Linked DNA regions of Elephas maximus indicus. The protein of the gene in region 4 purifies or fractionates together with the protein of the main gene of each other region. This does not show direct contact. Links are inferred from orthologs where the notes say so. Each region holds a gene or a part of one and is shown on either strand. Other genes may lie near its edges.

Region 1 (7,959 bases), on a different chromosome or scaffold from region 4:
ATTGCTGCTGGTGTGTGTCGATGGCACCCGAGGCTTCGAGATGAATACTCTGACCCAACCACACCTATGCCGTCCCATCACAGGATGCACAGAAATCCACTCCATCCTGGTGGGCTGGTTACAGTGCAGACTAAGTAATCAGACCCGGAATTAAACCCCTGGCTTGACCACTCGCTAGCTATGTGACAATGATCTCACTCTTTGCCTGTTTCCCCATCTATAAAATGGACATAAAGATTCACGTGAAGTGCGAATGAAATCAAGTGTGTAAAACATGTGCCATGCTGCAGGAAAACAGTTAAGAATTCAATACATCAGGCAAGTGTTACTCTCATCGTCACTGTAAGGCTTCTCTCTGCTGTGTGGCTGGGAGAGCCTCCCAAAGTTTCCATAAAGCTTGGGATCTGATTCAAAGGTCAGGTTTTGAATACTGGCTCAGTCACCTACTAGCTGTGTAACTTTAGGCACGTTACTTAACCTCTCAAGCCTCAGTTTCCTCATCTGTAAAATGGGCACAATAACGCAACAATCAAGGTGTTATGTAGACTAATAATAAAGCACGCAGCACAGTGCCTGGTACTCAGTGAGCCCGCAGTAAATGTTATCTAGGGCCAGGTAACAACATAGTTACTTAGTACAAAAAACGAGGAGTCACCTCTGATGCACTTAGTACAAAAAACGAGGAGTCACCTCTGATGCCTCTTTCCCTACTACGCACATAGAATCCAAGAGCAATTCCTGCCCATCCTACCTCGGTAAATGATCCCAAATCCATCTACTTCACTCCATGTCCACTGCCTCCATTCTAAGTCCAAGTCTCTCTCTCTCTCACCTGGCCAGTTTTAACAGACTCCTACCTGGTATCCCTGCTGTCATCATTTTCCATACAAATGTACAACGGACGCTGGCAAACTTTTCTGTAAAGGGTCAAATAGAATTATTTTAAGGTCTGTCAATTCTGCTACCGTATTTGAAGGCACCCACAGTAAAAACATTTAACAAAACAGGGATGGGAAAGGCTGTGTTCCAATACAACTAATGGAGTTCGGAAGGCACATTTCATGTAATATTAGCTTGTTATGAAATACTCTTGTGATTCTTTTTCCCACTTAACAACATAAGAACCGCTCTCAGCTTGTGGGCCCTACAAAAACAGGAAGTAAAACAGATTTGGCCCGGGCCCACCGGCTAGTTTCCCTACCGGCTCTACACTTAGCCAAACTCTTAGGAACAGTTCGACCCTATAAAGGCTTCCTACAATACACAAAACACTTGACTCTTTATCCCACCTTACATATTCTGACCCCTGCCTAACAATCCTCTTTCCAGTTATCTTAAAACCGAGAGCAGCAAAAACTGGGACCTCCCTTCTCTTCCTGGCCCCAGGTACTTTGCACTTGCTGATTCCCCAGTTCGGAATCCCTCCGGTCCCAACTCAAAAGCCCCCTCCATAGTGGCCAGTCCTTCATTTAAATCCATCAATTCCTGTACATCACCCTAGGTTGGCTGCTTCCCAGCACCTATCACAACCAGTCGTTACTGCTTTTCCACTTACTTGTTCCCTTGTTTCTCACTAGAAAGCAGCTGCATGAGAGCAGAGGACACTGTCTTGTTCTGCCTATTAAGAGCAGCCTTCGGGTTTTGGCGACCCTCGGGGGCTGGCACAGGGCAGCCTTCGGGTTTTGGCGACCCTCGGGGACTGGCACAGGGCACCCGTCGGGGTTGGGCGACCCGCGGGGGCTGGCACTGGGCAGCCGTCGGGGTATGGCGACCAGTGGGGGCTGGCACTGGGCAACCGTCGGGGTGGGGTGACCAGTGGGGGCTGGCACTGGGCAGCCGTCGGGGTTGGGCGACCGGCGGGGGCTGGCACAGGGCAGCTGTCGGGGTTTGCCACCCGCAGGAGCTGGCACAGGGCAGCCGTCGGGGTTGGGCGGCCCTCGGGGGCTGGCACAGGGCACCCGTCGGGGTTGGACGACCCGCGGGGGCTGGCACTGGGCAGCCGTCGGGGTATGGCGACCAGTGGGGGCTGGCACTGGGCAACCGTCGGGGTGGGGTGACCAGTGGGGGCTGGCACTGGGCAGCCGTCGGGGTTGGGCGACCGGCGGGGGCTGGCACAGGGCAGCTGTCGGGGTTTGCCACCCGCAGGAGCTGGCACAGGGCAGCCGTCGGGGTTGGGCGGCCCTCGGGGGCTGGCACAGGGCAGTCGTCGGGGTTGGGCGGTCCTCGGGGGCTGGCACAGGGCAGCCGTCGGGGTTGGGCGGCCCTCGGGGGCTGGCACAGGGCAGTCGTCGGGGTTGGGCGACCCTCGGGGGCTGGCACTGGGCAGCCGTCGGGGTTGGGCGACCCTCGGGGGCTGGCACAGGGCAGCCGTCGGGGTTGGGCGGCCCTCGGGGGCTGGCACTGGGCAGCCGTCGGGGTTGGGCGGCCCTCGGGGGCTGGCGCAGCGCTTGCTGCCCGGTGGGCAGGGCCGGGCCGGCGGGGCGCGCGCCGGCTCACCTGGTCGGCGCCGAAGGGCGTGATGTTGGCCTTGACGGTGCCCACGCCCAGGCCCACCAGCACCAGCCCCGCGAAGGTGGCGGCGGCGCAGCGGCGCTCGGGGCTGTCGTGGCAGGCGGCGCTGGCGTTGCGGACGGGCGCCGAGCAGTTCTCCAGCAGCGCGGCCCGCAGGGGCCCGCAGAGCGCGGCGCGCGTGGAGGGCGCGGCCACCAGCGGGAAGGCCAGCATGCCCAGCAGGTAGAGCGCCAGGCTGAGCACGATGGCGCCCGCCTTGCCGAGCAGCGCGTCGGCCAGCCAGCCGCCGAACGGCGACACCAGGTAGGTGACGCCCATGAAGAGCAGCAGCGCCTGGCTGGCCTGCGCGCCCTCCCAGGAGAACGGCGCGCCGTTCAGGAACAGCACCAGGTTGGCCGTGACGCCGTAGAAGGCCGCGCGCTCCAGCAGCTCCGTCAGCAGCACGGCGCCGCACGCCGCGCGCCGGCCCGCGAACGCCGACGACGCCCGCCGCGCGCCGTGGCTCCCCGAGCCCAGCAGCGGCGTCCGCTCGCCGGAGCCCGCCATCTTCGCCGCCGCCGGCCGGGCCTCCGCGAGCCCACAGCCACCGCCCTTCTCGCGAGACCTCTCGGGCGCCCTCCCAGTGGGCGGGCTCGCCGTCGCTCAGCCGGTCGGGAACTTCCGGTTCCGCCCCGGAAGCCTGGAGAGGCCGCGGCGCTGCTTCCGGAGGGGGCGGAAGTGAGGCCGCGGCCGTGACGTCCCCTCGGTGGGTGTTTTTCAAACGAAGTCGGAGCCTGATACCCCGCTCTTGCAAGCCCTTACAGGCTGCCAGTGGACCCCTAGGACCCTGACGCCTGCAACGGCCTCGAAGCTCTGCCTGCCCTCCAGGCTGATTTCCCGGGGCTGGCCCCCTTCCCGCTGTGCCCCAGGATGTCCTAGGTCAAGGTTTATCAACCTCAGCACTAGTGACATGTTGGGCCCCATAGTTGTTTGTGGTGGGGACTGTCTTGTGCGTTGTAGGACGTTTGGCAGCATCACTGTCCCGACCCGCTAGGTGCCAGTACCACCTCCTCTGCCCCAGCCCCACTTGTGGCAGCCATAAATGTCTCCAGGAATACTAGATGTCCCCTGCGGACAAAACCGTCCCCTTTTGAGAACCACTGTCCTAGGACAAGCCAAGTTGGAGACCCTTTCAGACCTTCACAGAGCACCCGCTGTCACAAAGCTGGTATGTCACCCTCTGTCAGCTCCAGACTCAAATGTGGCCTCCTTAGGGTGACACTTCTTGACCACAGCATCCAGAGTAGGTCCCGCCTGATCACATCCCCTGGTTTTGGTTACCCTACAGCACCTGTTACAGTTTTATGTTTATTTTTTGTATCCCCCCTGGTTCTGTGTGTTCCCTGGTCCATGGACACAGGGTTCTTAGGTGTCTCATTCCTTGTCATGTCCCCAGTGCCTGGGATGGTGCCTGGCATGTGCTAAAGTGGAGTGTCTCCCCAAAGTGGACACCACCGCAATCCAAGGATTCCATTAGTTCAAATGAGTAAGACCCTTTCCCATTACTTGCTCCATCCTTACCTCCAGCTAAGACCAGGAGGGAACCATTACCTAGGGAAGCGGGGCTTGCCCTGAAGTCCTCTGATAAGGTCAGTCCTGCCAATAAGGTTTGAAGTAGCGTGATTATCTTAAAAAAAAAAAAAAAAAAGTCTGACTATGGACTGATGCCTGACATGGTGCTACGTAAATTAATATGTGATAATTTTCTAATGAGAGGATAATTGAGTGCCAGAACTCGACCTTCCCCACCCTGTCTTTTTTTTTTTTTTTTTTTTTTTTTATAATAACTTTTATTAAGCTTCAAGTGAACGTTTACAAATCCAATCAGTCTGTCACATATAAGTTTACATACATCTCACTCCCTACTCCCACTTACTCTCCCCGTCTTGAGTCAGCCCTTTCAGTCTCTCCTTTCTTGACCATTTTGCCGGCTTCCCTCTCTCTCTATCCTCCCATCCCCCCTCCAGACAAGAGTTGCCAACACAATCTCAAGTGTACACCTGATATAATTAGCTCACTCTTCATCAGCGTCTCTCTCCCACCCGCTGACCAGTCCCTTTCATGTCTGATGAGTTGTCTTCGGGGATGGTTCCTGTCCTGTGTCAACAGAAGGTCTGGAGAGCATGACCGCCGGGATTCCTCCAGTCTCAGTCAGACCATTAAGTTTGGTCTTCATATGAGAATTTGGGGTCTGCATCCCACTGCTCTCCTGCTCCCTCAGGGGTCCTCTGCTGAGCTCCCTGTCAGGGCAGTCATCGATTGTGGCCGGGCACCAACTAGTTCTTCTGGTCTCAGGATGATGTAGGTCTCTGGTTCATGTGGCCCTTTCTGTCTCTTGGGCTCTTAGTTGTCATGTGGGCTTGGTGTTCTTCATTTTCCTTTGCTCCAGGTGGGTTGAGACCAATTGCTGCATCTTAGATGGCTGCTTGTTAGCATTTAAGACCCCAGACGCCACATTTCAAAGTGGGATGCAGAATGATTTCATAATAGAATTATTTTGCCAATTGACTTAGAAGTCCCCGCAAACCATGTTCCCCAGACCCCCGCGCTTGCTCCGCTGAGCTTTGAAGCATTCATTTTATCCCGGAAACTTCTTTGCTTTTGGTCCAGTCCAATTGAGCTGACCTTCCATGTATTGAGTGTTGTCTTTCCCTTCACCTAAAGCAGTTCTTATCTACTGATTAATCAATAAAAAAACCCTCTCCCACCCTCCCTCCCTCCCCCCCTCGTAACCACAAAAGTATGTGTTCTTCTCAGGTTTACTATTTCTCAAGATCTTATAATAGTGGTCTTATACAGTATTTGTCCTTTTGCCTCTGACTCATTTCGCTCAGCATAATGCCTTCCAGGTTCCTCCATGTTATGAAATGTTTCAGAGATTCGTCACTGTTCTTTATCGATGCGTAGTATTCCATTGTGTGAATATACCACAATTTATTTACCCATTCATCCGTTGATGGACACCTTGGTTGCTTCCAACTTTTTGCTATTGTAAACAGAGCTGCAATAAACATGGGTGTGCATATATCTGTTTGTATGAAGGCTCTTGTATCTCTAGGGTATATTCCGAGGAGTGGGATTTCTGGGTTGTATGGTAGTTCTATTTCTAACTGTTTAAGATAACGCCAGATAGATTTCCAAAGTGGTTGTACCATTTTACATTCCCACCAGCAGTGTATGAGAGTTCCAATCTCTCCGCAGCCTCTCCAACATTTATTATTTTGTGTTTTTTGGATTAATGCCAGCCTTGCTGGTGTGAGATGGAATCTCATCATAGTTTTAATTTGCATTTCTCTAATGGCTAATGATCGAGAGCATTTTCTCATGTATCTGTTGGCTGCCTGAATATCTTCTTTAGAGAAATGTGTGTTCATATCCTTTGCCCACTTCTTGATTGGGTTGTTTGTCTTTTTGTGGTTGAGTTTTGACAGAATCATGTAGATTTTAGAGATCAGGCGCTGGTCGGAGATGTCATAGCTGAAAATTCTTTCCCAATCTGTAGGTGGTCTTTTTACTCTTTTGGTGAAGTCTTTAGATGAGCATAGGTGTTTGATTTTTAGGAGCTCCCAGTTATCGGGTTTCTCTTCATCATTTTTGGTAATGTTTTGTATTCTGTTTATACCATGTATTAGGGCTCCTAGGGTTGTCCCAGTTTTTTCTTCCATGATCTTTATCGTTTTAGTCTTTATGTTTAGGTCTTTGATCCACTTGGAGTTAGTTTTTGTGCATGGTGTGAGGTATGGGTCCTGTTTCATTTTTTTGCAAATGGATATCCAGTTATGCCAGCACCATTTGTTAAAAAGGCTGTCTTTTCCCCAGTTAATTGACACTGGTCCTTTGTCAAATATCAGCTGCTCATACGTGGATGGATCTATGTCTGGGTTCTCAATTCTGTTCCATTGGTCTATGTGTCTGTTGTTGTACCAATACCAGGCTGTTTTGACTACTGTGGCTGTATAATAGGTTCTGAAGTCAGGTAAGGTGAGGCCTCCCACTTTCTTCTTCTTTTTCAGTAGTGCTTTGCTTATCCGGGGCTTCTTTCCCTTCCATATGAAATTGGTGATTTGTTTCTCTATCCCCTTAAAATATGACATTGGAATTTGGATCGGAAGTGCGTTAAATGTATAGATGGCTTTTGGTAGAATAGACATTTTTACTATGTTAAGTCTTCCTATCCATGAGCAAGGTATGTTTTTCCACTTAAGTATGTCCTTTTGAATTTCTTGTAGTAGAGCTTTGTAGTTTTCTTTGTATAGGTCTTTTACATCCTTGGTAAGATTTATTCCTAAGTATCTTATCTTCTTGGGGGCTACCGTGAATGGTATTGATTTGGTTATTTCCTCTTCGGTGTTCTTTTTGTTGATGTAGAGGAATCCAAGTGATTTTTGTATGTTTATTTTATAACCTGAGACTCTGCCAAACTCTTCTATTAGTTTCAGTAGTTTTCTGGAGGATTCCTTAGGGTTTTCTGTGTATATAATCATGTCATCTGCAAATAGTGATAACTTTACTTCTTCCTTGCCAATCCGGATACCTTTTATTTCTTTGTCTAGCCTGATTGCCCTGGCTAAGACTTCCAACACGATGTTGAATAAGAGCGGTGATAAAGGGCATCCTTGTCTGGTTCCCGTTCTCAAGGGAAATGCTTTCAGGTTCTCTCCATTTAGAGTGATATTGGCTGTTGGCTTTGCATAGATGCCCTTTATTATGTTGAGGAATTTTCCTTCAATTCCTATTTTGGTAAGAGTTTTTATCATAAATGGGTGTTGGACTTTGTCAAATGCCTTTTCTGCATCAATTGATAAGATCATGTGGTTTTTGTCTTTTGTTTTATTTATGTGATGGATTACATTAATGGTTTTTCTGATATTAAACCAGCCTTGCATACCTGGTATAAATCCCACTTGATCAGGGTGAATTATTTTTTTGATGTGTTGTTGGATTCTATTGGCTAGAATTTTGTTGAGGATTTTTGCATCAATGTTCATGAGGGATATAGGTCTATAATTTTCTTTTTTTGTAATGTCTTTACCTGGTTTTGGTATCAGGGAGATGGTGGCTTCATAGAATGAGTTGGGTAGTATTCCGTCATTTTCTATGCTTTGGAATACCTTTAGTAGTAGTGGTGTTAACTCTTCTCTGAAAATTTGGTAGAACTCTGCAGTGAAGCCGTCCGGGCCAGGACTTTTTTTTGTTGGGAGTTTTTTGATTACCGTTTCAATCTCTTTTTTTGTTATGGGTCTATTTAGTTGTTCTGCTTCTGAATGTGTTAGTTTAGGTAGGTAGTGTTTTTCAAGGAATTCATCCATTTCTTCTAGGTTTTCAAATTTGTTAGAGTACAATTTTTCATAATAATCTGAAATGATTCTTTTAATTTCATTTGGTTCTGTTGTGATGTGGTCCTTCTCA
Region 2 (7,435 bases), on a different chromosome or scaffold from region 4:
GCATGGGTCCTCCAAACAGTGGTGGGCCTGGGCCGGAAAGCAGTACCTTCAGACACAAGGATCGCGGGGCAGAGGGGACAGGCCGGCCCTCCCCCCAGTCCTTGTGTGGTTTCATGTAAGACTGCCCAAGGCCTCCAGGCACCACCCCACGACCTGGGGGACGAATACCCTGACCACAGTGCAGGAAGAGTGAGGCTAACCCAGGTCAGCTAGCCTGTGCTCTGAAGTCAAAACCATCCACACATGCAACATAATTGTCTTCCTCACCTCCCCCTTTCTGTAAAGCAGGTCCACCTGCTGAAGGCAGTTTATACACTTAGAACGTATCAGGGAGCAGGCAGAAATAGAACGAGCCTGTCCTTCGTGGGGAAATGAGAAACTTCTTCACATCAAAACAAGTCTTCCACACCAGAAATGCTGAAGGCGTGATGGCCCGGGGTGGGTGAAGGGAACCCAGCTCCCCAGCCCCCAGTAAAGACAACCTCCAGTCATTCAGAGAGCACATCACTGGCGCCCCAGGCCCCCAGGGAGAGTGGCGGGAAAGCCCATCCCTGAGTCGTCTGAGGGGTAAGCTAAGATGCACAAATCAACATTCACCTTGGCCTTGCCCTTCCTGCCGATCAATTTCCACTGCTTTGGGAGGAAAGGGGAAACCGCCAAGGCAGGCCCAGGCACTCAAGGAGGCACACACACGGTGCCCGGGGTCACAGGCACAGCCCGCCATGCAGAGCCAGGACCCCATGGCAGGGACAGCTCAAGGTTAGTGCTCAGCCAGCATCATGCTGCCCAGTCACAGTGCCCTTGAGGCCCCCATGGCAAGGGCTGGAGAACCCACTGTGTGTGATCGCAGCCTCCCGTGGAGACCCTTGCACTGAAAACAGGGAGGGCTCTGGGGAGGGCTCCGCTAACGGGCACTCCAGTACCTTCCAGCTCCAGGTCGTGGAGGGACCTTGCCACGCCACCACCAGTCCGGGCAAACCCGAGGGCTGCCTCGATAAGCTCTGGTCAGCCTGGGGTGGGCCTCACAGGGGCGCCTGCCCCTCTGGCTGTCCCATCCTCCCCACACCACGTGAGAAGGAGCATCTTGGCCTCACCCCAGAGGCTGTGAGTGGCCCAGGTGCTTCTGAGGACCCCTGGGCTAGGGTTTCCCAAACTCACTTTACCCACAACATCTCTGAGAGGAAGGCCTCCCAGGTCCCAGCGACCCAGGCTCCCAGAGGGTTCAGCTGATCCGCAATAGAGTCAGGAATCTATTTCAGTGCGGCCAGATTTTCTGGGTCAGGTGGTATGGAAACTGGCCCTCGAATGCTCACCATGAACCTCTGTGCAATGCGGACCCCACACAACATGGACCTCAGCCTATCCTGGGTGGGAGCTGAGGAGACTGAGGCTGAGAAGGCAGACCCTCTCAGAAAGAGGGAGGACAGGCCAAGGCACCAACCTGCCCTTGGAAGTCATAGCCCTCCTCGCCCTGGCCACAGTGCTCAGCTGGCCAGCTGCCCACCGTCTGAGGCCCAGCACTGCTTCTGAGCTTGGTGGCTCCAGAGAGAGGAAGAGCGGGCAGGAGGAAACAGTCTCCAGCTGAAGACCGGTAGCAAGCTAACCAGCTGCCTAAGGCGGAGCAACAGGCAGGAGGCTGGGCCTGGACAGGTGCCCCCAGGCTCCTCTAGGAACCACAACCAGGCTGCACCACTGAGCAGATGACAAGGTGCTGGCTCTGCTGCCTCAGTTTACCTGTGCAAAACACTCTTGTTGGTGGCCTGTCCCTGACCATCCAAGGAGAGGGGAGAGTCCCACCTGCCACCTTCATGTGCAGGAAAGCCGGGCTGACCCCTCACCCACAGGAAGGGACGCCAAAAGGGGCATTCTCACCAGCGTTCCCAGTCTCCCTGAACTGCCCACAGGTGTCCTTGGCTCTGCCTGCGAGGGCCACAGGCTACAACGACCTGCACCCCTGCTTCAGAAGGACCCATCACCTGTGACCCTGCCCCCTTCCTGTCATGCTGGGGCCGGGAGCCACACAGGCAGTGTCCAAGTGTCCTCTGGGCACCCCAGTGCAATGCAGGGTGGCTACGTTTCATTATCTGGAAGTCCCTCCTCCACGCACCCCACGCTAACCTACCACGCTCATGTACCCTGCCAGGAAGGGCCCTCAGCACCCTGAACAGCACAGAGAACAAGCAGCTCGTGCAGGGACCCACCCACCAACAAAGGAAGACTGGGATGGGGGATGGAGGAATGGGCCCCCGAGGCCCACTGCACCCGACCCTGCCCTGGGGCTGTCGTTCTGTGTAAGCCTGGAGGGTCAGACTGTCCAAGGTCAGGCCATGGGGAATGGGACTCCAGCCAGCGCTTATCGGGCCCTTTGCTCACTGCAGAGGACAGAGCTCAGGCCCCCTGGGAGGAAACAGGAAGAGCCGGCAAGGGTCTCCGCGGCGCCCCACCGGGGGGGTGCTTATGGGCGGTAGAGCCCCCTCACCTGGGGAGTCTCTACAGCTGCCCCCCAACGTGCGTCACAGACCCTCCCCCACACCGAGTCGTGCCACAGAAAGTGCCCCTGGGGGTCGCCCATCGCGCAGAGGCTGGGTGCGGCAGAGGGGAGCGAGAGGAGGAGCCCACAACCGTTGAGGGGCACTACTGGGGGGGCCCGTGCCGGCAGGGGGTGCAGGGGAGAGGGCTGGGAGGTGGGGGGCCTTCAGGAGTCCCGGGTGGAGGGAAACTACGGGGGAGGAGCAGGGGGAAGCGAGGAGAACCGACGGGGGGAGACTGGAAGTGAAGGGACGGGAGCCAGCAGCCCCGCAGCGCCCCTCGCCGCCTCGCCCCCCTCGGTCCGCCCCGCCTGCGTCTGCAGGTGCGCCCCCCGCCGCCAGCGCTCACCCGGGCCGGGGCTCGGGCAGTCGGGCTCGGGCCCCGCGCGGCCCTCGGGGCAGCCCTGCGCCTCCGGCTGCCCGGCCGCCTGGTCCCCGCCGTCCTGGGCCTGCGCCGCGTCGGCCCGCGCCTCCACCGGCACCACGGTGAAGTTGGTGGGCATGGCGGTCGCCGGCGCCTCTGCGCTCCCGTCCGCCGGCCCGCGCGCGCGACCGCTCCCGGGGCCCCGGTGACCCCGCCCCGGACGGCGACCCGCCCCCAGACCCGCCCCCGGGTCGACCCCGCCCGCAGGCCGGCCCCGCCTCCCGCTCCGGACAGATCCCGGAAAGACCCCGCCCCCGCCCGGACCAACCGACCCCGCCCGGGTCCAGGTGACGCACCTGCCCACCGCCAGCCCTGCGTCCCCAGGAAAGTTTCCCCGGCCGCGCTGAGCCTCCCGGCCCCCAGGCCTGCGCGAGCGGGACCCCCCATCCCAGCCTGGCCCCGCTGCGGGGAGTCGACCCCACAGTGCCCCCTTTCCTGCACTGCCCGTCCCCCTCTCGTCAGGGCAGTCCCCCTCCCCCTGCGTTGTCACTCACCCCGCAGGAGGCATCACCCACCCCCCACACACACACACACTTCCCACCCCTGTGCAGAGGGCGCCGCGTTCCCGCACTATCCGAGGCCCACCCCGCGGGGCAGTAACCCCCGTCCTCACCCACGGTCCAACGGGCCAGCGAAGGAGAGGGGAGAGGAGCGCCTGAACACTTGTTCACAGGGAACATAAGCCGGCACCAAGTCCTGGGCTGTTACTTGACCAGGGCACTGTCTGGGGCAGCCCATGCCAGATAGGCGCAGACACCCCCAGGCTGTGGACCTGACACCCTGGGAATGATCAGGGCCTTCATTAGAGAAGGCAAGGGATGCTCAGCCGGGGGACTCAGGTGTGGCTCCTGTCTTCACCAGCCTGGTGGGTCCCCTAAGGAATAACACAAAGGACTAGGGGCAGCCACATGTCCACCAACAAAGAATTGGTCTAAAAAGTTAACCTAAAGCCACACAGAGTCACCCCAAAACCGTTTTGCAACCATAAGGTAGAAACTAGGTGTTGTGAGCCAGAATGGCCACAATATATCACAAAGTGAAAAACAAAAACTGAATGGCCTAATCCTATTTAAAAAAGCGTGTGTGTTTCTATAGGCTGAGGAGGCGGCTGGGGGTCTGAGTTCCTCTGGGCTGTGGGAAATCAGGGCTCCTCTTTTTCTGTGCACTGTAAACACCAATCTCAGAAAGCCTATTTCCAAGGAGAGACAAGAGAATAGCCTTAGGGTGGCCAGTTCCACCCTCTGTCCCTGCTGGGAGAAAGCAGGTGTTACAGAAGCCAGAGGCCTGGGCAGCTCTGGAAAGTTCCCTGGCCCCGCCCCTCACCCACACCCCAACACCAGCCAGCTGCAGAAGTTCATCCACACTCTTGCCCCCACCTTCCCCCTCCACCTCCCACCATGGCAGGGTTGGGTGTGGACAGGGACAGGAGTGGCCAGTGGGTGCTCAAGAGGGTCTGTCATGAAGGTAGGGGCCGAAGGCGGTTCTGGTGGTCTTCAGCCGCCTCTCCAGGGTCAGCAGGGATGGAAGAAGTGGGAAAGCCCCCCGCACACACACACACCTAGGATAAAACTGTTTTCCTGTGCTCTTCCCAGGGAGAGACTGGCTTTGTTGACATGATCAGAGCATTGCTCTGGGTAACCAAGGAGTGTGGGTGCTGGGGGGCGGAATTTATTACCCTGGTTGCCACATGGAGAGCTGGGGAGGTGCATCTGTGAACTCAGCACTGACGGCCAGGGCTGGCCTGGATGGTCCAGGGCCCGGTCTCCGCTTCACCCAGTTGTGTTGTAACCACAGGAGATCATCCGTGGGCCCAACCCCTTCATTTTACAGGTAAGAAAACTGAGGCCCAGGAGATACAGGTCACTTGGCAGGTGTTATGGATTGAAAAAGAGGAAGACCCTCAAGGAGATGGATTGACACAGTGGCTGCGACAATGGTCTAAAACACAGCAATGAGTGTGAGGATGGCTCAGGACCAGGCAGTGTTTCATCCTGTTGTGTGTAGGGTCGCTATGAGTCAGAACTGACTTTTTTTTTTTTTTTTTAACAAAAACAGCATGAATTGTGTCCCCCCAAAGTACATGTTGAAATCCCAATCCCTCTCCGTGTGCATGTGGCCCGGTTGGGAAACAGAGTTCTCTTTTGTTACGTTAATGAGGTCCTCGGAATGGCTCCTTATAAAGTGAGCAGAATAGCCACACAGAGAGACAGGCTGTCAAGGGGAAGTTAGATGCTATGTGAAAGCATCCCCAGGACTGCAGATGAGGAGGGACTGTCCCCTAGAACCAGTGCCCTGGTTTGGACATCTAGCCTCCAGAACTGTGAGACAATGAATTCTTGTCCTTCAGAGCCACCCACTCCTGGTATTTGTGTTTCAGCAGCCCTCGGGAACGAAGGCAGCAGTTGAGAGCTTTGTCCGGCTCTCAACAGGGAAGTCCACCTTCTCAGCCGTACAAAACCTTCCTGTTGACAACAACCAAAGACTGTGCTCGGTCCTCCAACCTTTCAGGTGTAAGAGCCAGCTGTGTACTGTTCGGGGGCACTGAGTGTCTGTTAAGGGTGATAGAAAAACCTGGAAAGGAATAGTGGCTGTGCTTGCCTAGCATGGGGAATGTCACTGAGTCGCACAAGTGAAGAATGTTCAAATGGCAAATGTCTTATTATATAGATACTTGTCGTTAGTTCCTGTCTTTTCCAACTCATGGCTACCACAATTTAAAAAAAAAAAAAAATCAGTTGTTGTGCTCATGCAAATTGTAGATGAGACCTGGGGTGGGAGCAGAGCTGCTTGTTTTTCTAAGTTTAGTGAGTTATTATAAGATCAACACCCTGTAACCACTGTCTCTCAAAAGCAAGAGCTGCCAGCCCCCAGAAACCCCAGCATGAGCCCAGACCCAGTCCCAGCCCCACTCCTCCCCCCAAAAGCAACGCTTCTTCTGACACATACAACCACTTCCTTCCATTTCTTTATGTTTTTTTCCATCCGGAGTACACCCATATACACCATAGCTGGGGTTTTGCCCATTTTTCAATGTCATGTCTTCTCCATCTCTTTATCTACAGCCTCCCCTCAACCCTTCCTCTCCTTTACAAGGTATCTGCAGCCTCCTGGGGCCTATTTGGATACAATCTATCTGTTGCAGGATGGAGCCTCCAAGGCTCTGGATACAGGCTCCCACGCTCTGGGTTTGCTGATGCCAAGCTCCTGCCAGCAGAGCATACTCCTCCTGCCTGTTTCCTGGGAACGGGCACCTGGAGCCAGAAGCCTGATGGGGTTCAGGCTCAGTTGTCACAACACTCTTAGGGGTGGTGTGTTCTTTCAATGGGATGCAAACATCTGGTTGCCACTCTTTTTGTGATATTAGCAGCCGTTAGTGCTCATGTCTAGATTTATTGATTCAGCCAAAGATGTAGAGTTGACCCTGGCTCACAATGATCCCATGTGTGTCAGAGTAGAGCTATGCTCCCGGGGTTTTCAATGGCTGATTTTTAGGAGATCAGCAGACCTTTCTTCTAAGGCACCTCTGGGTGGACTCAAACCGCCAACCTTCCCAGTTAGCAGCCAAGCTTGTTAACTGTTTCCACAACCAGGGGCTCCTTATCAATTCATCAGGGTGTGCAAAATAGTGGTTTCCTAAGGCATCATTTGCCTGCCATTAACTCACTGGAGTAATTTTCCATGGGCAGCTTCCTTGCCCAGAGTTTGGCTACTGAAGGTGCACTTCCTGCAGGTAAACCCTTGCTGCATCTCCCTTGCCCAGTGCTGTTGATTCCAACTCATAGGGACCCTGCAGAACAGAGCAGAACTGCCCATAGGGTTTCCAAGGCTGTAAATCTTTACGGAAACTGACTGCCACATCTTTCTCCTGTGGAGGGAGTGGCTGGTAAGTTCAAACTACCAGCCTTTCAGTTAGCAGCCAAGAGCTTAACCACCATGCCACCAAGGCTCCTCCTGCATCTCCCTGACTGAGCCGTTTTCAAGGTAGCAAATCGGTTTGCTATCATGCTCCAAAGGTTTTTTAAATGTCCTTATAAGCTGGTGGACTTAAACAGATGTGGTGGGCTTCAATCAGTGCCGTCATCATCCTTTTGGAAGTTAGTTGTCAACTGAGCCCCACGCCCTCAACAGACCCTTGTCAGCTCCAACAGCAGCTCTGCGGTGTGGCACCACACGCTGGGCAAGCTGGGCGCTGGGGTGGCCAGTGGACACAGTCACCGCTCCGCAGGCAGATTCGCCCATGGCCCCTGCTGCACTCCGCCACTCTGAAGTGGAAGTTCCAGTCACACTAGCAGGACGGCTGGAGGACATGTGTGCCCACTAGGGCCTTCTCCTCTGAGTCACAGACATACCGCCTTGGGGTCCTCCATTCCGCACGGGCCTTGGAGGGATGACCCTTCTCCTGAGTCCTCGGGACTAGATGTTCAGTGAATGTGCACACAGGGTTGCCAGGCCTTCAGGGCGTCAGGAAGCCGGCAAAGGGAGT
Region 3 (8,032 bases), about 44 Mb from region 4:
ACAATGCTCCTTCAAAGTGAGGGCCATGAGACTTCATCTTGCTTACTTTGGACATGTTATCAGGAGGGACCATTCCCTGGAGGACAACATGCTTGGTAAAGCAGAAGGTCAGCAAAAAAGATGAAGACAATGAGACGGACTGGACCAGTGGCTGCAACAATGAGTAACGATTATGAGGATGGTACAGGACCAGGCAGTGTTTCTTTCTGTTGTGTGTGGGATCACTATGAGTTGGAACCAACTTGATGGCACCTAACACCACCACCATACAGGAAAGAAAAAAAAGTTTATCACCTGAGAAGTCTTTGTAACTATTTTTATCTTTGAAAGAAACTAAATCAGGAGCATATTTACAACCACACTTACAACTCAGGTAGCTACTAATTTATTGAGAGGAACTTAAAGTAGCCAGCAAGCTGTCAAAGATTTCAGTGTTATATTCTGGGTTCCAAATCCATTAATACTTTAGTATAATTGGATGTTTTCAGCTGGATCTTGCCTTTTATGTTTATTTTAGAAAAAGAGCTGAACTGTAGCTGATCTTCTACAGTCAATGGCCAGAAACAATGACCTGTGTTTATAAAACTGTATACAACTTGTGTGTATAAGCCTAAGTACCAATGTTATCTTGTCTTCCTCCCCCTAAACAAAAATCCTCCAAATACAAAACCAAAAAGTTAAAGCCAGGCTTTAAAACTAGGTTTGTCTTCCTCTAAAGCCACTGACGTAAAAAAAAAAAAAATTTGAGGTAGGAAACATGAATTCTTGTTAACCTAAGATAGGGTAACTTATTTATCCACTTGATGCTTTGGTACCACAAATTTGGTACCAGCAATTTTATAACAGTTCTCTCTCAGGGTGAACTGTAGACAAAAGTACAGGTGCAAAAACAATTGAAGGCAAAGTTAAAGCAGTATAAAAAAAAGTTGGGGGAAAGCTAGTAAAGTTGGACAGCGTGTGTATGTGTGTGTGTGTGTGTGTGTATGGAGAGTGGTAAATAGAGGGGATGTAAGAAATAGTCAAGTACAAAGAAATAACACAAGGAGATACCACTACACACCCACCAAGGTGGCTAAAATAAAGACACCACCACCAAATTTGGTGAAGATGCACAACAGGAACTCTCAGACATTGTCAATGAAGGTGTAACTTGGTCTCAGCCACTTTGGAAATGGGTCTGGCAGTCCCCATTCAAAAAAAGCTAAACCCTTTGCAGTCTTGTCAATTCCAACTCATAGCGACCCTACAGGACACAGCAGAACTGCCCCATAGGGTTTCCAAAGTGTGGCTGGTGGATTTGAACTGCCAACCCCTTGATTAGCAGCTAAGCTCTTACTCACTGAGCCACCAGGGCTCCCCAATCCAGCAATTCCGCCCCTAGGTATTTACTCCCCAAAATGAAAACATATGTCCACAAAAAAAGACATGTACTAAAATGTTCACAGTTTATTTATAATATCCAAAACCTGTAAATATCCCAGGTGAGCATCTGCAGTAGAATGAGTAAGCAAATCGTAATACACTCATATACAGAAACAGCACCCAGGATAGGTGCAGGACAATGGGACAAGTACCTCACTTTACTTGGACATCCTGACTCCTTCTGGGGAAAGCATATTTCTTATTTGGGATATTTTTTCTTTTTAAATTCCAACTTTTACTGCAGGAAATTGTTTTCCTTTGGGTGCTTTGGCCAATGACTGTGTCAAAGCCATGCTAACATTTTTATCCCTAAACTGTTACCAGCTACAGACTGCTGAAGACAGAGGGCTTCTCTTCCAGTGTGATTTTGATCGTGACCATTTTCAAAGCACGTGAACTGGGATTGGTTGCTGGGTTGGGCCACCATGAACTCATACATCCACCACAGAGAAATACTAACACTTGGTTCCAAGAGGAGCCTGCAATACGTCATCAGTCGTTCAAGTTTGTCATTCACGGGAATCCAGGACAGCAAAGAGCTGAACAAGACCTGCTGTCTGAACAGGGGAACCTGGACCCTGGGATTCTTTTGCGCTTGCATTCCTTACTTCTACGGATGAACTGTGAGCATGATTTTTGCAAAGTGAATTGTAGGTGTGCGCCCCATGACACCTGCCTGCCCAAGAAGTGTTCCATGTGTAAATGCTGGCATGACTGGCTTCAGTGCTTTGCTCAGACATTTTTACCTGGTTGTGATAATCATGTGATAGATGAGCACCTCATGGCTTCCAGGACTCCAGAATTAATGTCATCTGCATGCACCACTCTTATGCTAGTTGGCATCTGCCTTTCTACACAGTTCTACTACTAAACATTTGCCTTTTCCTGGAAATACAAGTTTAGGTCTCATGGAAATTTCATGGCCAGTAAAGGCTGCTGCTCTAATGTTGTTAACTGACAGATGATCACTTGCTAGTTGCCTTGAAATGATGAATACACTTAAATAATGGATCCCTAACACTTCCTTAATGTGCCAACTACTTCTATCCTCTGCTTTGCTCTCCCTCCCAAAAAGCTGCATTTTCAAAAAAGTTGGCCATATCTACATTCTGTCCAAATCCTGTTCCTTGATACATCTAACTCTAAAAAGAGGTTCATATCAATGTTTTCTTTTAAACATATGAACTCTATCTTTAGATAATCTTAAGATGGAACTGATGATAAAGTTTTGAGGTCAGTCAGAATCAATAAAGAGTATCTTTGGAACAGGAAAGAAAGCATCTTTAATGGGAGGGAGGGGGAATGAGTGCTGGCGTAATAGAAATACGTGTGTACCAGGGAAAGAGGGTGGAAAAGAGAGAGCAAACAATAGACAAAGAAGAGTGGGAAAAATAAGACTGATTACTCGATTGATTAGGTAGCTAGAGAAGCAAGTTAAAACGCTAAATTAAAGGGCAAGTTTCCATCTTCTATAGAAAGTGATATAAGACAAGCTCTGTAAGACATGCCCCTTTTTCCTCAAGGTATTATAAAGAGAATGAAGCGTCCTAAGGAAAAAACTGTATGTAAATTTCCCCAACAAGATTGGTAATTTATATTTTGTCCACACAAGCCAAGTATTTTATCCGTTGTAGAAGGGAAACTGTTCACAATAAACTAGGTAATAAAACCATATATGCTGTAAAGCCCATTTTTAAAATATGTTGTGTATATGTCACTATGAGTTGAAATCAACTTGATGGCAATGGTTTTTTTAATATGTTTATGCACATTAAAAATTGGAAATAATATTGACCAAAAAAAGAAATACAACTCCAGGATAAAAAGGAATAAACTAATGTTTCATGCAACATGGATGAACCTCAAAAACATTATGGTAACTGAAAGATGCCTTAAACAAAAGAGTACATAATGTATTATATATATTATCCCATTGATATGAATGAGGTTCTAGAATGGGCTAAACTGATAGTGCAAAAAAAACAAAAGAAAACCAGGACGGTGGTTTCCTGTTGTTGTTGTTGTGCGCTGTCAAGTCAGTTCCGACTCATAGCAACGCTATAGTACAGAGTAGAACTGCCCCATAGGGTTTCCTAGGCTGGAATCTTCACGGGGGCAGATCACCAAGTCCTTTCTCCTGATGGGTTTGAACTAGCAACCTTTTGATTAGCAGCTGACCACTTAACCACTGTGTCACCAAAGCTCCTTTGGTTGCTTCTACTCCTTAAAAAGCCCATTGCTGTCGAGTCGATTCCACCTCATGGCAGCCCTAATGGACAGAGTAGAACTGCCCCATAGGGTTTTTAAGGAGCTGCTAGCGTGTTCAAACTGCTGACTTTTTGGTTAGCAGCTGAGCTCTTAACCACTGAGCCACCAGATGGCCTCTAGAGGGATGGAAGGGCCCCTGGGTGGTACAAGTGGTTTGAGCTTGACTGCTAACCTAAAGGTTGGCAGTTCAAACCCACCCAGCTATGCCATGGACTAGAGGCCTGATGATCTGCTTCAGCTGAGAGTTCTACTCTGAAATACACAGGGTTGCCATGAGAAAGAATCAGCTTGATAGCAGTGGGTCAGCTAGGGGGATGCAGGCGGAGATTAGCTGGGAAGGGACATGAAATAACTTTCTGCAGTGATGATAATGTTTTATATCTTGATAGGATTTAGGTTTCCACAGGTGTATATATTTGTCAAAATAGCCAATGTCCACTTAAAACGTGTGCATTTCATTGTATGAAAATTTTACCTCAAAATAAAAATAGCTGCAAACAAATACTGAATTCTAATGAACATATTTTTTGAAGTATTTGGGAAAAGTGAACTGATATCTGCAATTTACCTTAAAATACATAAAAACAGGATAGACAGATGGATAGATACATGACAGGACAATTAAAATAAGACATTTATGGTAGAATCTGGATGGTGGGTATATGGATGTTCACTGTAAAAGTCTTTCAACTTTCTGTATGTTTAAAAATTTTTGTTATACAGTGTTGAAAAAATACAGTGAACTGACACCATTATGAAAATGAACACATACTTGACAAAGGACTTGTACTTAGAATATACAAAAAAATAAAGAATCGTACAACTCAGTAATAAAAAGGCGACAGTGAAACTTATTAATAAAAGTTAAAATAAGTTCATAAAAATTTTTGAACAAGTATGTTTATAGTAGCTGTATTCATAACAGCTCCAAACTGGAAACAGCCCAGGTATCCATCGATAAGATAGATTAAAAAACCTGTAGTATAGTCACACAATGGAATATTACTCAACAACAAACAGCGACAAATGACTGATACATTCAACAACATACATGAATCTCAAAATAATTATGCATTATATATTATACATTAATGATATGGATATTGAAGTGTTTAGATGGATTGATGGTATGTGATAAGGCAAATGCAGCAAAATATTAACTACAGAATCTAGGAGTGAAGATATGGGTGTTCACTATACAATTTTTCCAAGTTTTCTATACATTTGAAATTTTTCATAACAAAACACTGGGAAAAAATACAATGAACTTGAGTCCAAATACCTAAAGATTTTTAGATTTGAGAATAAAATAAATCACTTAAGAGTCAAATTCCATTTTATATGAAATTTGGGGGGTTGCATAAATGTTTTTCTTGTACTTGGAGTCTAATCTTGAATGCTGTTTAAAATGAGTGGGGACAGAGTTGAAATTTTACAGTAAAAAAAATTATTTTTAAGTAGTAAGATATAAGAGCAGATGAGGACAAAGGGGGCATTTACAAATGGTATTACTCAGTGTTTTATAAAAAAAAATTATTTTTTATTATACATTAGGCCAAATATTATAAATATTATATTGGTTTTACCAACTAGTTTCAGTGAAATAATTTGTGACTCTAATATGTTTGTTAAAAAAAAAGTTAGTATGTCCATTTTTCAGAAGAACGGGTCTATTTTGGGTAGTATTTTGAAAGTACGACCTACTATGCTACATTAACCAATTATATATTTTTAATCACAGCTCATAACTTATGGTAACCAGCATTTTGTCTTATTCAACCAATTTATTAAAACAGGAAAAAGACAAGTTAGATTTCGTGAAAGGACTGAAACAACTAAGGGAAAGTCAGTGCGAAATTTTGAACATAAACATTCTCTATCAGATTGTAACACAGTTATACTATAGCACGAAAAATCACTGCCACATTTAAAGCAAGTCGTATGTATTTTCTCTTGGTTTTCAGAAACTGCAAACTGCATCATGCAATTTAAACCTATACAAATAATCTAGAGCCACACGATTTCATAGCTAAAATCAGTCTTAAAAAAGACCTAATAACCATTAATGCTAAAAATGGATCCATGGTGCAAGAAAACTTCTATAATAAATGGACAGTAGTTGAAATTCCTGGAATTAAAAACCGCATGTATTTTGAATGCTTGAGATGTACCGAATGTCATCCTCGAGAGTATCCTGTATACATGATGTTAAGGTTTTAGTAATAAAGTCAACAGTATTCTTTTTTAAAAAACGGAATTAAAGCTTTATCAAAGGTACTAGTATATTAATAAAAAACTGGAAAAGTATAAAGTAGAACACATTCCACGAGCATACAAAATGCAGCCTTATTTCATCTTATCTGTTTATACTTTTTCACCGAATTTCCACGGATATTACTATCACACACACACACACACACACACACACACGATGAGAATTTACGTAAGTACCTTATGAGAGAGACATACATAGAAAAAGTTCAACAGGAATACTAAGGAAAGAGCAAATAATTCTGAGTTGGGAACAGACTGAAAATAATAAAGACCTCTCCTAAACTCAATCCAATGCCTGTAGTTTAAAGACACCATTCAAAGCTCATTCACTATCGAGATCTAGCCATACTAGCGGAAACCTCTGAAATTATAACCAATTAAGACTTGCATGCCCACAGTATTTGTTACTACAGGCAGTCCCTGGATTACGAACATCCAATTTACCTACAACCCGTAGTTACAGGCCAACCCCCAGAAGGCCTGTTATACTGAAAATCCAAGGTATGTACAACGGTTCGTAATAACAAATGGGCACTACTTTTCAACACGCATCAAACATTGTTATTATTACTGTATTTTTATGTTAAAGATGTTTTAGTGTATCTGGAAGTGTTTCTTTAATTTTTTTTTTATGCGTAGAAAGGTACACTATATACTAAGACAAACATCTGACTGACGTTGGATACTATTAACTGTTCTGACTTAGGTACATATTTGACTTAGATAGATTTAGGTACAGATGTTGTTAGTAATCCAGGGACTGCCTGTAATGGTGTTTTTAAAGAAATAGTAAAGAAGGAAGAAATTACTTCTAGGTAGTTGCTTTTAATGTAGTGAATTATTACTTTAAAATATTTAGGATGGATATCCTTATCGAATAATTGTTAACCACTGGCCAGGAACTAAATACAAGTTAAAAAACTAACCACAAATGGATAATAAACAAAATGTGGTATATATATATTTTTATTATTAAACAGACATGAAATTGCTCCATAAAACTGCTATGCACGTTTCTAAAAACTCCCCATTTCTGAACTTATCTCCTCAGAAACAGGTAATAAATAGTTCATGGGCCTGCAACGTCTGCCATACTACACTCTGAATATCTCTGTGTTAGAGACTGCTGTAAATATTTTAGAAGAAAACACTGAGTTTACTACTTAAATTTAGAGTTACTGCTTTTAGCTGGGGCCTGAAAAGTATACTGACCCTCTTTCTCAACTAGAAAATGTATATACATTTTCCTTATTTACTATATTCAATAGACATTTTTTTCTCTCTCATACTAGGACGGTAAACATTAGTTTAAAAATAATAAAATGACCACAAATTCTAAATTTTGCCTTACTGCATGGCAGTTATTGAAATAATTAAATGAATGTGTCAATTAGTTTGGAGACCAACTATTGTCTATGAAAACAGGCTTTTATAAAATGCTATCAATGGTAAATATATAATCAACTTTGCGACAAACAACTGAAAGATAGTAAATATGTAAAAGACACTGCTTTGTAGAGGATTTATAATATTGTAGAATAAGGAAGGCAAAGAGTTCTACAAGTTAAAGCACCAGGAAAATCTCATACTCTGATGAGGTTGAAAGAATAATGCATTTGTTCAATATATATTTGACTGTCCCTTTTATGCCAGGAAAGAGGAATGCAATGATGAACAAAACATCATTCCTGCCCTAACGGAGCTCTCAGTCTTGGTATTCAATTAATTGTATAATAAATAAATCATATAGTCAATAAAATATACTAATTATATAATAAAAGTCAATATAAAACAAGGACAATAAGTACAATACAGCTTAAGTCCAGAAAGAAGCCCGAGAGCATAACATGCCACCACCTTTCCCAGCTACTTCTTCAGGAACCTGAAGTTTCAAGAATTCACTAGAGGAAAGAATGTAGTAGGGCAGTTGATGGCTAGCTAACTTGATAGATACTTCAGCCCTTTTGGCTGCTGCCCCAACTATTAAAGGGGGCATTAACATTCGAGTAGTCAGAGCCTTCAGCTTCCACTGTTACTGTTTTCACCACACTGCTACCCATCTCTTTAG
Region 4 (7,643 bases):
TACTATTTAGGTCTCCACATTTGGGAAAACTACACATTATAGCTCCGTGTAGCTTTAGAACGAGGAATTTAAACACGAGTCAGAATGTAGACCATTTTAATCGGCTGTTAATTAGTAGCTTTTCCCTTTAATAACTAGTAGCTACCCACTGCATTATGCTATTCTAGGCCCACCTAGCAATTAATCCAGTTATGTCTGGGTTCCCAGGAACACTTGTGAAGCTTCTGCTCAGTTTTAGAGCAGACCTTTACACAAGCTGTAGTGGAAGATCATAAACATATTTCCTCAGAATCCCAGGGCACTGCACCACCCTACTCCCTAAAGAACACAGGAGAGGCAGTCTACTTCCTGCTCTTGCAGAAACTCAGAGTGGGGCTTGAGGAAAGTCTATTTTCCAAAGCTGAATTCCATGATGCTGAGTTGGGATAAAGGAGACCAGTCCTCTCCTTGGATTTTGTCCTCATCATAGTTTCTCAGCATCAAGGGAGGTAAAGTTACTTTGTGCTTCCCAGTTACTGATTTTTTCCCCTATGGAAAAGCTGAACAGCAATCAAGACAGAACATATGATACTTAGTCAACAGCAAACTGTAAGTATACAGCAAGCACTGTTCTGGCAGTCTCTTCAGTTACCCAGTTGGAGTTTTATAAGAAGAACCAGTTTAGGCAACAGACACAAAGAGCTACACAGCTGCCCTCTGCAGAAGCTGTGTCCCAAGCCATCTCAGGAAAGAAAGGCTATGTTTTAGATCAGTCACCAAGAGGCTCAGATACATAAATTTACAAGCCTCTTGATACTAGGGTCAACACAAGATTGTCAAGTTATACTGTATAAATACACTTCTCTGTAGCAGTTAAGATTCAGAGTCTGGCTAATAAGGGTTCTAGGTTAAGAGTTCAGGCTACTAACCAAAAGGTCAGCAGTTCAAATCCACCAGCTGCTCTTTGGAAACCCTATGGGGCAGTTCTACTCTGTCCTATAGGGTCTCTATGAGTCGGAATCGACTCGACGACAATGGGTTTGGATTTGGCTTTTAAGTAAACCTAAATTATAGGTAAGACCAACATGAGTCACTTGACCTCGCTAGCAATAGATCAAAAGTTTTTAAGAAGCACCTATGCGTATGTGGGAACCCTGGTGGCGTAGTGGTTAAGTGCTACGGCTGCTAACCAAGAGGTCGGCAGTTCAAATCCTCCAGGCGCTCCTTAGAAACTCTACGGGGCAGTTCTACTCTGTCCTATAGGGTCGCTATGAGTCGGAATCGACTCGACGGCAGTGGGTGTGTTAGGTGTATGTGTGGCACAGCAAGCTACCCCTCAACAAACAGATTCATCTATTCTGCTTGAAAATGACTAGCTTTAGGGGTCAATCAGTCAGGCCAAACTTCCCTCTTCTGCTACTTACGTAACTTAGTGAGGCAACCTTCTAACACTTCTGAGCTATAAACATGCAAGGACCACCATCAAACTTCCCTCCAGGGTATGGAATAAATGCTGGATGTAAATGTAAACTCTAAACTCTAAATTTAGGAAGCAGCTCCAACCCCCCCCCCCCCCAAAGAACACAAATGAGGCCCAACCATCAAAGAAATCAAAGACCCCACTCTAAGGAATCAAAATTGATGTCTGAAAAGAACACAGTTTTTGTGGGAAATTAAATTATTAGTAAGCTATAACTTTCATGGGAACAAACCATTTCCTAATACAGAGAGATAAACTTTATAATCTTGAGGCAAACAAATCAGAATATTGGAAGTTGGTGAAGATTTTCTCTGATGCTCTGTGGCTAATTTTTATCTCTATCATTTTCTAAAAATTAAGTGACTCTGCCTTCCATTTCTTTCCCAGAATTCTAGAAACAGACCAGATCACTGAGGCCCAACTGTCCTCATTGTCCAGCAATCCAACTTCCAAGAGTCACTTTACAAATATTCCACAGTATCTGGAATAGGAATCTTTAAAGGGCTGGGCTGAAGCCTAAGACACAGCCTCAATCTATGTGTGCCTGACTCCCCGGCATTTAATTCCTACTCCCAGAGCGGAAGCATTTTAGTGTGAGCAACTGATAATTCAGAATAAACCCTCAAACCTATTTTAAAAGTCCCCTAGCTAGGGCTCTGCGCACTCAGACCAACATGTTGCCACACCCCACATATCCTCAGCACAGATCTGAATTCTTACAGCCCAAATTAACCCTTCTGGGTAGGAATGAGTCACTTGATTTGCAAAAGTTTAGGGCTCCCGGACTTTGCCAAACTGGACACATGCGCTCTCAGGCCTTGGGACAGCAGCGTTTTCTGTGGGGTCAGCATTCTGACAGCAAGCTGCAGCCCCTGCCTCCACGTTGCTGGACCCGTTAAAAGAACTCATTTCGCGCCCACAGCAAGATCTGCAGATGAAAGTTCGGCAGACACACAGAAGTAGCCCGGGGCAGGCAAGTCATGAGTCCCAAGAGTCGCCTTATAGAGTCCTCGGGGTGCCGGGAAAAGGGGACCTGGCTCCTAATGCCAAGCTAGCGAGGGTTGCTTGGTTTGATAACCCCTCGCAGTTCGACCTAGCCGATTGACCTGTGTCTTATCAAGCACTAGGATTTACTCCACGTCCATAAAGCAATGCTGGCAGAGGCAGCGGAGGGAGGGCAGGGTGGTTAAATCCTCCGAGGCGCCACAGAGAGTGCTCCGTGCCGCCCGCCGGACGTCCGCAGACACACCTGCCCGCTGCGTAGTGGATCTTTGTAAGTCGTTGCTAACTTTCCCCGAGTCTCAGACCCTGGAAAATCTAAGGTCATGGACCCCTCCCCAAAGGCGGTGCCCACCGGACCGCACAGGCTGGCAGAGCAAGGTGCGTCCCGCCGTCCGTGCCCAGGCCGCCGCGGTCGCCCAGGCTTGGGCCGAGCGCTCCAGAGAGGGGCCGCGCCCCTTCCCGGCCCGAGCCGGCCTGACAGGCACCCGCACCCCGCGCCCCCTCCGCTCACCCCGCCTCGGAGTCCGCTGGCTGCCTCGCTCGCTCCCGGGGCTCCTGGCCGGGCTGCGGCTCCACGCCTCAAATAGGCCGGCCCTGCCCCGCCTCGCCCGGGGCGGGGCGCCGGCCCTGCGCGCCCTGCCTCTCCCTGGGCACCAGGCTGGGCGAGGCCCGAACCCCTTCCGGGACCCGGGCGGCCGCCCCGCCGGTGCAAAAGACTCAGTCCTGTGAGGGAGTGGGGGCCGGCCAGTGGGACCCTGAAGGGCGGCGTCCCCTCGTCCCCCGCCCCAGCAGTCCCGAGATGTGAGTGTGACCACGTTCATTTTCCTCTCTCCAGACTCACTCCCACAGCTTCAAAGAGGATTGGGAGAGCTTACTGAGCTTTTAGTGTGAGCTTGTTGCTTGCTTTATTTAACCTTGTGCATTTTCTGCCTGAATAGCAAGCAGTCTCATCCCTTCTCCACTTCACTTTACTGAAACCACCTGTCAGCATCAAAGCACACTGATTTGAGTTCGATACGGAAATCCCTGTCAGAAAGTTCCTGCCGCGCAAGGTGAACCTGTCCCGCGTTCTAGGCCTTGCGTTCATTCTCCTTTCTGACCTCAGACCCGTAAAACTGTGATGTGGGCACACACGGTCCAGACTGAGCTCCCCGAATTGTTTTTGCTCTTTGCTCCCCAGTACATTCTCAGCGTCTAGTTCAGCCTCTGGGGCTAGAAGGATCTCAGTAAATTTTTGCTTAATGAATGAATGAACAAGCGAATGGATGAATCACTTCTTAGCAAGGCTGAATATCTGTTTTCTCAAAGATTGGAGAGAGTTCTGCTGGAAGACATAACAGTTAAATACAAAAATTACCTTTGGTAAAGGCGGAGATAGGACATTGCTATGGTTATATGAAAGGAGCCCTGGTGGCGCAGTGGTTAAAGCGCTGAGCTGCTTACCAGATCGGTGGTTGGAACCCACCAGCTGCTCCCACAGGAGAAAGATGTGGCAGTCTGCTTCCACTAAGATTTACAGCCTGGGAAACCCGTGGGGTCGTTCTGCTCTGTCCTGTAGGGTGGCTATGACTTGTATCCTACTCAATGGTAACCAGTTTAGTTTTGGTCTTTTCCTATGGCTGGCTGTATGAAAGGTTGTTAGAGTAAATGGCTATGCTTGCAAAGAGAGGTGGTATTTGTTTAGTAGCATTTAACTGGGTAATAACCAAGTAAAATGGTTAAGGATGTCAAGGTGGATTTTTTAAAAGTTCAGATAATAATCATAATAGCTAATATTCATTGAGCACTTATGTGCCTTGCATTACACTTAGTAGTGCTTTACGTACACATATGAAAAAAAATATGAGGTAGGTATTATTTTCATACCCATTTTACAGATGACACAACTGAGGCACAGAGTATTAGGTAAGACCAAGATCACAACATACATCAAGTTGAAAGTATATCAGACAAAAACCAAACCAAACCTGCTGCCATCCAGTTGATTCCAACTCATGCCAACCCCAATGTGTTCCAGAGTAGAACCGCTCCATAGGGTTTTCTTGACTATAATCTTTATGGAAGCATATTGCCAGGCCTTTCTTGCACTGATTAGCAGCTGATCATAAACCACTTATACCACCCAGGCTCCTTGAAAGTGTGTCAGGGTCTAAGAAATAAGCCTTTGGAAATGGAATATTCGCTACTCAACAGACTGAGGTAAAAAAAAAAAAAAAAAAGAAAATACTCATCATCACTACAACAAAAAATGCCAACAACAATCCACCAAAAGTTAATAGATTTAGTAGGAGCTGAGAAAGTCATTCAGCAATGGAAAGAATATTTGACCACAAGGTAGAATTATCTTTGAGATGAGGAAGGAGCAGGGTTGCCCTTTTGACCCCTTTGTCTCTCGTACTTTCTGTGTGATGTTTCAATTCCAGATAACACAGTCTCCTATCTCAAACTGGGATTCCGAGTCTGGCTGATAGCATATGTGAGAAAGCCTCTGGATCTGTTTGATCTGACATGTCTGGGAGCTTTTGGATCTTTGGCTAGACAAGGAAGGGCTTTTGGTGCAACGGAATGGAGTAAGGACAAAGAATCAAGAGGAGATGACATAACAATCTCAGTCCTACATGCCTCGTTTGCTGGGTTGGTGTCCCAGGGAGAAAGGATGGGGCCAGAAACTGATGGTGCTGTCTTTATAGAAGCTTTTTTTTTTTTTGAGAGAAGCTGCATCAGGGCCCAGGTGACAAAATACAGCCCTCAGGTGTGGGGCAGCTGTTCTTCCCCTTCTCCACATAGCCCAGGACTGCACTGGCTGTCAACAAATTTCTAGAGCTGCCTCCTGGGGCAGACATTTGTGTTCTCGCTCTGGAAGGCCTCTGGAAGTGCCAATGTGAAACTCCTTCATGTAGGTAGTGGACATCACCCAAGGGGCAGGAGAGCAGGAGAGCAGGGACACAGCAGATGTCCCTGGTTTGTTAGCACTAGCGAGAGTGCTCTTAGGCCAGTGGGGTGGGGGCTGCACTGAGCAGGAGAGGAGCTATGGGAGGGGTCCTGCTCATGCAAAAACAAGACTATGGGAAGCTTATAGCCTCTGGCCTGGCTAGAACTGGCCTACTGGTGGTTGTGATGTAACTTTGTGCTATAGCTATGCATGTCCTGCTTTGGGCAATGGATTCACTCAGTAAACCAAAATGGAAGTGTAATACAATCTCACTGATAGAACGTGATTGAAGGGTAGAGATTAATGAAAAGTCTGACTTAAAATGTACAAAACATAATCATTTTGTTACTCTAAAAATAATAAGGTAAATTAATATTTTTAAAAAGTGATTCACAGTGGGCTGCAATGTTCCTATGAACTTAGAAATTATGCTAGCTGACCTGAGTAACCTGGTTACTTGGGATCTTATGATGTTAGAGAACAAAGTATACATGATATATAAAGCTGTATTGCAAATGGTTAACATGCTCAGCTGCTAACCAAAAGGTTGGAGGTTCGAGTCCACTCAGAGACACCTTGGATTTCTTCCTGGTGATCTACTTCTGAAAAATCCATCATCAAAAGTGCTATGGAGTACAGTTCTACTCTGAAACACATGGAGCTTCCATGAGTCAGAATTGACTAGACAGCAACTGGTTTTGTTTTTTTGGCACTAAGGGAAAATTAGAGAAGGAAGCAAACATTTTAATTTAGAGTTTAACTCTGACCTTCCTTCCTGTTGCTGTCCCCCTTACTCACTCCACCTTGGCCACACCAGCCCTCTAGGCTGTTTATCTAGTACACCAGGCACAACGCACACTCCTGTCTTAGCATCTTGCACTGGCTGTCCCCTTTATCAGGAACTCTCTTCTCCTGTTGTTTCCTAACTCTCTCACCTACTTCAAGTCTTTGCTCAAATATCACGTTCTCCATGAGGTCTACTCTTTCCACCCCTTATAAAACTGCAGCAGGCACCTCCACCCAGTTGGACTTTACCCCTCCCTGTGGCTGAACAGTACTTCACTGTACTTACTTAGGACGTTTATTGTTTTTTTTTATTGGTTTCCCACCTGCCTCTGCTTTTACTTCCTCTCCTGAGGGCAAAACTCTTTGCTGAATTGTTTACTGATGAATCCAAGGTACATACAGCAGGCTCGCAATAAATATTTGTTAGGACATTTATGGTGTGAGCACTGGAGGAAAATCCTGTGGGTTGTTCACTTTTATTATTTTCAATACTCTTCCCTCTACTTATCTATTTGATGCCCTTTAAAAATGATCAAAATTTGAAAGAGTGAAAAATTCAATTAATAGGTGGTTTTGTTGGGAGCCCTGGTGGAACAGTGGTTAAGAGCTTGGCTGCTAACCAAAATGTTGATGGTTCTAATCCATCAGCCACTCCCTGGAAGCCCTGTGGGGCAGTTCTGCTGTGTCCTATATGGTTGCTTGCTATGAGTCGGAATTGACTTGACGCCAACGGGTTTTGGGTTTTTTTTTGTTTGCAAAAAAAAAAAAAATCCTACCTTCTCAATATCCATTTCCTGAAGAATTGACTAAAAATTTACCACTTTTTTTGGATAAATAGACCTAGTCTCAAAGCAATTCCATTAGGAAGCAATTATTAATCAACTCTTTAATATATTTTACACAGGACATTCAAGTTACTCCATATATACTCTGCTTTTAACCTCACCGTATTATTTTGTACGAGGAAATAGATAAGTTTTTTTTTTTTTTTTACTGTCAGGGAAAGTGATTTACTTATCAAAGTTAATCAATGCCTAGGGAGACAGCCCAGAGGTCCAAAGTTTCACAACTGGTCCAGGAAAACACTGAGCAAAAAATTCTGGTAGGGATTGGTTTATGTCACCCACGGAGAAAACCAGGTATAACCTGATTGCTAAATAATGCATGTGCTACCTAAAGCAACCAAATAATTCATACATTGTGTACAAATAGTTTCATCCTGTTGTCCACCATAGGAGAGAAATGTCTACGTGAAGGACTCACTAGGTGGAATTGTGAAGATGTCTTGGCACCCTCTAGGATAAATTTGTAAGTGCCTTAATGGCCGGTACTTTATTTTTCATCAATGTCCTCTCTGTAGCTTACTTGGTTTAGAGGCTTGCACAGAAATCACTGTGTGCATTGAGGATTAATTATGAAAATACAACATCTTCTCTGAACAGGTTGCCTGGCAACCAATTTACT

The links.
Region 1: the proteins of LGALS3 (region 4) and SLC15A4 purify together in Homo sapiens (affinity purification with mass spectrometry; 3 studies listed by BioGRID and IntAct, counting the BioPlex papers as one, with this or other methods). This does not show direct contact. The link is inferred for Elephas maximus indicus from reciprocal best matches to the Homo sapiens genes LGALS3 and SLC15A4.
Region 2: the proteins of LGALS3 (region 4) and SLC12A7 purify together in Homo sapiens (affinity purification with mass spectrometry; 3 studies listed by BioGRID and IntAct, counting the BioPlex papers as one, with this or other methods). This does not show direct contact. The link is inferred for Elephas maximus indicus from reciprocal best matches to the Homo sapiens genes LGALS3 and SLC12A7.
Region 3: the proteins of LGALS3 (region 4) and SLC12A6 purify together in Homo sapiens (affinity purification with mass spectrometry; 3 studies listed by BioGRID and IntAct, counting the BioPlex papers as one, with this or other methods). This does not show direct contact. The link is inferred for Elephas maximus indicus from reciprocal best matches to the Homo sapiens genes LGALS3 and SLC12A6.

What each region holds. Positions count from the first base shown.
Region 1 is NC_064840.1:3,144,502-3,152,460, reverse strand, and holds the start of SLC15A4 (solute carrier family 15 member 4), read right to left. Parts: upstream 3,058-7,959; coding exon 2,497-3,057; intron 1-2,496. UniProt on the Homo sapiens protein: Proton-coupled amino-acid transporter that mediates the transmembrane transport of L-histidine and some di- and tripeptides from inside the lysosome to the cytosol, and plays a key role in innate immune response.
Region 2 is NC_064820.1:1,173,250-1,180,684, forward strand, and holds the start of SLC12A7 (solute carrier family 12 member 7), read right to left. Parts: upstream 3,098-7,435; 5' UTR 3,032-3,097; coding exon 2,878-3,031; intron 1-2,877. UniProt on the Homo sapiens protein: Mediates electroneutral potassium-chloride cotransport when activated by cell swelling. May mediate K(+) uptake into Deiters' cells in the cochlea and contribute to K(+) recycling in the inner ear.
Region 3 is NC_064828.1:23,953,636-23,961,667, forward strand, and holds the start of SLC12A6 (solute carrier family 12 member 6), read right to left. Parts: upstream 3,095-8,032; 5' UTR 1-3,094.
Region 4 is NC_064828.1:67,459,327-67,466,969, reverse strand, and holds the start of LGALS3 (galectin-3), read right to left. Parts: upstream 3,058-7,643; 5' UTR 2,973-3,057; intron 1-2,972. UniProt on the Homo sapiens protein: Galactose-specific lectin which binds IgE. May mediate with the alpha-3, beta-1 integrin the stimulation by CSPG4 of endothelial cells migration.